Linked DNA regions of Mus musculus: region 1 is reported to be linked to region 2. The links are microRNA targets in miRTarBase. Many come from high-throughput screens and were not tested one by one. Region 2 holds a microRNA gene; the other region holds the end of a gene's coding sequence.
The links. The annotated mature microRNA mmu-miR-935 reads CCCAGUUACCGCUUCCGCUACCGC and lies in region 2 at 1,744-1,767, shown strand. An mRNA with a match to its seed (bases 2 to 7 or 8) in the 3' UTR can be bound and repressed. Matches are read on the target gene's strand: a 7mer-m8 pairs with bases 2 to 8, a 7mer-A1 pairs with bases 2 to 7 and ends in A, and an 8mer does both.

Region 1 (3,406 bases), not on the chromosome of region 2:
CTTCTAATTAACATACACAGAGGTGAGGGTTGGTCATTTAATCACAGTGTGAGGCTTCTAAGGTTGGAAGGACAGCATACTGTATTTAGACATTGCATACACACACACACACACACACACACACACACACAGAGGTACACAAAAGTATAGCATATACTTATCAGCCAGCCTACAACACACTCAACAGCTAGAGTGTCACTTCTTATAATTCCATATGCTTTCCACTGTATCATTCTCAAATTTAATGTCAGGCTGTGGCCAACAAATTATTCCACTAATAATTTTTGAATTTGAATTTCTTACCTTTTTAGTTGTTTTAATCCACCCAATTTCTCTCATGAAACATAAGGATCTCTACTTGGTTTCTTGGTCTTTAAGCTGCTGGAAGCTCACATTTCTAATTTTAACCATTATCTTGTAGCTCATCCAAACACACAATGAAGATGTTTTGGAGTATAAAAGAAGAAATGGATTGGAATAAACTTTGGAAATAATACAGTAAGTACAGTTATAGAGGACATAGATTATGGAAGTTTATCTGTGTGTTTGTGAATGAGGCAGGGTCCCACTCCAAGGACACATGCCTTTTTTAGTTCTAGCACTAGAGGGCTAGAGGGAGGCAGGTCTCTCTGAGGCCATCCTGGTTTAAGTAGTGAGTTCTAGGACATCCAGGGCTAAGTAAAGAGACCCTGCATCAAAAGAGAGACTGAGTCTCACTGCATAGCCTTGAACGCATTATATAGACTAGGATCCACCTGCCTCTGCCTCCGAAGTGCTGAGATTTAAGGAGTGTGCCTGCAGGGTGACACCAGTACTGGATGAGGCCATGCAAACCTGTAATGCGAGTACTGCAGAAACTGTGGCAAGGAGATGCTGAATCTGAGGCTAGCCTGGTCTGCACATCAAGACCCAGTCCCAAACAAAGACAGCAGGGAAATCAACAGTAACCACACCACATTGAGTCACATCTTCTTCACTGGTACTTTACGCTTTGTTTCATAGCACTTGGGACAAGCTGGCATCATTTGCGTGTGCTTCCTAATGTCTGTTTGCTGTTCTTATACTTGAACGTGACTTTCTTCTGTATTAATGTTCACGTTCTCAAACTGTCCTGAATGCCCAGCCATCTTAGGAGTTTAGTATTTGTAGGACAAATGACTGTATAGAGGCAGCGGATTCAGGATTTTTTTTTCTGCGTGGCCATGTTATGATTGTCACTACAGCTAGCATCCACTGAGGAGCTCAGGTAAAACCTAATATGAATGATTTAAGAGAGAAGATTTGTGAGTATGTTTGTGCACGCGTGTGTCACACAAAGCATATATATATCACTTAAAGTATATGCTTTATTTCTGAAAATTATTTGAAAGGAGTTCTTGATAAAGTGAAATCCCTCGTTACAATTAATCGTATCTTCTAGACTGAGGAGTTAGCTCAGTGGTTAAAGCAACGCCACATAAGCCTGAGGACCAGAGCTCAGATGCTCAGGAGGCATAGCATCCACGTGGAATTCCAAAACTCTGGAAGTGGACAGAGGATTCCCAGGATAAGATGGCTAATCATATTAGCCACTGGGGAGCTCTGGGGCCAATCAAGAAACCCTGCCTCAATGAATAAGGGGAAAAGCCATTGATAGACACCCCCAGCATCCGCCTGGGGCCTTCCTGTTGCTGTGCACACATGCAGACATGCACATGCACCACACACAAAATATGTCAGTTTCCATGGGTTACACTGATAAAAATACCTTGTATCTGCTAGATAATAAACATAGTAATCACAACACACATTTTCTTTATCTAAGAACTCTGAAATTTAACACTTTAGAATTTATTGTCCAAGTCTTCTGCTGCTTTTTTATACCACTTTGCCCATTTCAGTACTTATGCTATGGATCTAAAATTAAGTACTGAGGGTTTGTTTTTTGGTTTTTTTTTTTTTTTTTTTTGAGACAGGGTTTCTCTGTGTAGCCCTGGCTGTCCTGGAACTCACTTTGTAGACCAGGCTGGTCTCGAACTCAGAAATCCGCCTGCCTCTGCCTCCCGAGTGCTGGGATTAAAGGTGTGCGCCACCAAGCCCGGCTCTGATATTATTTAATAGATATATTTTCTAGATTTTTTTTCTGATGCTTTAAGATGAATTATTCAGAGATGTCAGTTTTAAGATTATCTGATCAGTCCCTTGGTTGGTTGTTGTTTTTCCCTCTTCTTGTAGGTCAGCTTCATGTGATGATCACAGTCCTTCCTCTGGATTCACCCTCAGTGACGGATGTGAGAAAAGAGTTACATGCGAATATGAGTCAGTCAACACGTTTTGCATGGTTAAGTTAAAGAAATAAAAATACTCGCGCTCCTCATGTGTAGACGGAGTCACTGGTCAGTGCTGATGGACTCTTACTTGTTTTGTTTTGTTTTGTTTCCAAGACAGGGTTTCTCTGTGTAGCCCTGACTGTCCTGGAACTCACTTTGTAGACCAGGCTGGTCTCGAACTCAGAAATCCGCCTGCCTCTGCCTCCCAAGTGCTGGGATTAAAGGCGTTCACCACCATGCCCAGCTAGCACAGAATTCTTGAAGCCCTGGGTTTAATCACATGAATGAAAATTGTAAAAAGGCTAGAGAGTAGATGTACTTTAAAATGATTTATTATCTAAGCCTTCCTTGCACAGTGTCTTTGGATGTCATTCTGGACATAAATTCAAAATTACAGTATTTGAGATTAGATATACAAATGCTATGAAAAATCAAAAATAATACCAACTTTCCTTATGTCAGTTTGGAGTCCTGATAGAGTGAGTAGTAAAACTTGACAGATTATAGACCAATCTCATGTAAATGCAGTAACTAGAGAAAGATCTATGATAGGAAGAAAGACAATTATTAGGGTCCAAGAATTGCCGAAAAAATAATACCCTAGCCTCAAATAGCATGCAAAAGTAGAGAGTGTTAGCTGAATTTCCCACATGCAGGGGTCTCCCATGGAGATCCCTGGTGGACTTGTAGGCCCGGCTTTTATTGTCAGTTAGGGGAATGCTCTTAGGGATTGGTTCTAATGTTTTGATTTAATTGGGAATCTTTGTGTCCAAATCCTGAAGGTCCTTGTCCCCAATTGTTTTTTGATTGATCAATAAAGATGCCAGCGGCCAATGGCTAGGCAAAGGAAGACAGGGTGGAACCTTTAGATTTTTGTTTTTTTGTTTTTTCCAGACAGGGTTTCTCTGTGTAGCCTTGGCTGTCCTGGAACTCACTCTGTAGACCAGGCTGGCCTTGAACTCGGAGATCCACCTGCCTCCCAAATGCTAGGATTAAAGGTGTGTGCCGCCACGCCCAGCTACCTTTAGATTGGGCCTGGGGTAGCAGGGGAAGGTTTAAGAGTGCCCAGCCTTTGAGGTAGCCAAGCCATTTTAAAA
Region 2 (3,385 bases):
TAATGAAGATGGGGCTTAGACTCCTAGAGGGGAGTTTTAACACATTTAAATGGCAGGGTGTATGTTGTAGACAGGGGTGGTCTAGATCTGTTCAGGGAGGGGCTGAATTTAGGTCTGGGAGAGGTATGTGGCAGGGTGGAAGTCTAGCCTACACCTACAGGGCCTGGGGTTTAAAAAACTGGAGGTTGGGCCTGGAGTACAAAGGCCACCTAAGAAGGTCGAACTTGAGGCTAGCCAGAGTGAATTAGGTTACATACCTAGCCAAGGACTCTGTAGTGCGGGGAGTTAGGTCAGCAATGGACAGAGCCTAGAGACTTAAAGTGGAATTGCATCATTCGTAGCAAAAGGAGAAGAGGGAGATACCGGTTTATACTTCAGCCAGGAGCTGGAAACCGAGCCTGAGACTACCTCAGGAAGGGTAGGTTTAAGACCAGTCAACGTTGAGCCTAGATGAGCTGGGGCAGAGTTTAGGCCAGTGGAGGCTAGACAGAAGGGGCAGAACCAGACTACCTGGGGGTGATAGCTAGACCGCGGAAAAGAATTAAGATGATTAGGATAGAGATGAGCCATTGTCAGCCATTGCCAGAAATCTCAGAAGGTTAAGATCTGAGTCTTCTTGGGGTCAAGGCCTTGACCGCATACGGGTGCAATTTAGATCCATGTAGGTGAGACTTATGGAACTTAGCAGAAAGGGGGGCCTGGGCCAGTTAAAAGTAGGGCCAATGTTAACTGGGGAATGGAGCTAACCCAGAAGGCAGAGGCCAGACCTCCAAGGGAAGTACTTTAGGCCAGTGGAGGAGGGGCTTAGATTTCTGAAGACCGGCGTAGGCCTGCCTATAGGAGCAGACCTTAGACTTCTCTGGGAGAGTTTTGACTCTTGGAGGCAGGGTCTAGATTCCTGATGCAGAGTTAGCTCATTGGAGTGGTACTTAAACCTCGGTAGGGGTGAATTTCAAACCAATGACAGCGGGGCTTAGACTCCTAGAATGGAATTTAGTCCAGTAAAGGTGAGACTTAAGTTCTTGGGTAGAGTTTAGCAGGCAGGGTTTATACTGCTAGGTAGGGTTTAGGCCAATGGGGCAGGGCTCTGATTGCTGGAGTAGAATTTAGCCCAGCAGAAATACGGATGGAGTTAGATTACTGGATAAGGATTTAAGACTCCTTGGTGGAATTTAGTCCAGTAGAGATAGCCTCTTAGACTAGTGGAGTACTTAGACTCCCAATGCAGGTGAGACTTAGACCAGGTGGGCAGGACTTAAGACTCTTGAGTTGGAGTTTAACCCAGTGGGATCAAGGTTTAGACACTTCGAGTAGTTTTTAGTCCAGTGGGTCTCGTGGCTTAGACTCCTCGGGTGGAATTTAGCCAGAGGAATACCTGGCTTAGAGTCTTGGGGCTTTAAGACAGTTGGTAGTGCTGGAGCCCTGGCGGCCTTGAGGCTCCCACATGACCGTCTCCATCCAGGCTTGAGCAACATCATCGGGGTGATTGTGTACATATCGGCCAACGCCGGCGAGCCTGGCCCCAAGAGGGACGAGGAGAAGAAAAACCACTACTCGTACGGCTGGTCCTTCTACTTCGGCGGGCTGTCCTTCATCCTGGCTGAGGTGATCGGAGTACTGGCCGTCAACATCTACATCGAGCGCAGCCGCGAGGCACACTGCCAATCACGCTCGGACCTGCTCAAGGCCGGCGGCGGCGCGGGCGGCAGTGGCGGGAGCGGCCCCTCGGCCATCCTCCGTCTGCCCAGTTACCGCTTCCGCTACCGCCGCCGCTCCCGCTCCAGCTCCCGAGGCTCCAGCGAGGCGTCGCCATCCCGGGATGCGTCTCCCGGCGGCCCCGGGGGCCCGGGCTTCGCCTCCACGGACATCTCCATGTACACGCTCAGCCGCGACCCGTCCAAGGGCAGCGTGGCTGCGGGGCTGGCGAGCGCCGGTGGCGGCGGCAGCGGTGCCGGCGTGGGTGCCTACGGCGGGGCGGCCGGGGCGGCGGGGGGCGGCGGGGCGGGCTCGGAGCGGGACCGCGGGAGCTCGGCGGGTTTTCTCACGCTGCACAACGCCTTCCCCAAGGAAGCGGCGTCCGGCGTCACGGTCACAGTCACCGGACCGCCCGCTGCACCCGCGCCCGCGCCCGCGCCGCCCGCTCCTGCAGCGCCCGCGCCCGGGACCCTGTCCAAAGAGGCCGCGGCGTCCAACACCAACACGCTCAACAGGAAAACCACGCCCGTGTAGGGGCGTGCGCCCTCGCGGGGGAGCCGGGGGGCGTGTCCGGGGCGCGTGCGCGGGCGCGCGTGCAACGAGGCCGCCGGATCAGGGTGCCCCCCAGGTCTATCCCCGCGAGCGCGCTGGACACCGCTGGGCCTTCTAGCCCCTCTCCGCACCCTCTACCCGCCCCTGGGGGCGTGGGGAACCCCGTCACGCTCCGAAACAGGGACCCTTGGGGAGGGGGACGGGACGGGAAAGGGGTTCCAGCGTGGGAGCGCTGTGTTTTATTTTTGTGTTGGGAAGATTTCAGGGGAGGGAGGGAGGGCCCGTGGTGTTTTTTGCAGTTTTGAGATGTTTTCTTTTTAAATGTTTTGCTGTGTGCATGTGGAGGCGGGGCGGGGGGAGGGGAGGGAGGGACTCCCAGCCCAGCCCAGCCCAGCCCAGCCCAACTCCTGGAGAGGGGCACATAACACATGAATATAGGGTTACATCTACAACTATATATACACATGTTCTGTATAAAGAGACCAGCAGAAGGCAAAGGCCAAGGGAGAGACGCGCTCACATTTAGTTCACTTTTTCATCTTTCAACAAGGGCTTATTAAGCACCTACTGTGTACCAGGTGATGGTACAGAAGGTGGTGCTAGAGAGGAGGGGACATAAACGCAAGGCGCATCCGTTCATTCATTTCTGGAAGTTTTATGTGTGTGCGCGCGCATAACCGCTAGGCATTGTACTCACCGTTGAACACACAGAAGGGAAGAAAATAGGGTTCCTGGCATCTTCAGAGAGTTCACATCTTGTACTTGAGACAACCATTAATCACAAAATCACATACATACCCAGTAAATGACACTTAGAAATGTAGAGGCCCTCTGGGGCTGTAGCTCAGTTTATAGAGTGCTTGCCTAACACAAGCCCTGGGTTCCATTCCCAGCACCGCATACACTAGGTACTGCGGTAAACACCGCTAATTCCAACACTTGGAAGGTGAATGGAGTTCAAGGTCATCCTGGGCTGTATATTTGTATATTGAAGTTGAGGCCAGCCTGAACGACGAGACTCTTGTATTTTAAAAAAGGTACAATTTGCAGGTTGGGGGGTCTGAGATGCTACAGAGTGTTCCAAGAAGGGGTAATTAACTTGGTTTTTTTTTGGGGGGGGAGATAATTAACTCAGGAT

Region 1: the mRNA of Ndufc1 is a reported target of mmu-miR-935. The part of its 3' UTR that is shown has no 7-base or 8-base seed match.

The regions. Positions count from the first base shown.
Region 1 is chr3:51,404,428-51,407,833 of GRCm38, reverse strand. Ndufc1 (NADH:ubiquinone oxidoreductase subunit C1) reads left to right here. Exons shown (of 4, transcript NM_025523.1): 3 at 422-498; 4 at 2,215-2,355. The coding sequence ends at 481. Among named protein-coding and RNA genes, the nearest start is that of Ndufc1, 2.8 kb to the left of the region's middle.
Region 2 is chr7:3,413,377-3,416,761 of GRCm38, forward strand. Gm23450 (predicted gene, 23450) reads left to right here and starts at 1,690; the gene lies at 1,690-1,780. Cacng8 (calcium channel, voltage-dependent, gamma subunit 8) reads left to right here. Exons shown (of 4, transcript NM_133190.3): 4 at 1,463-2,890. The coding sequence ends at 2,229.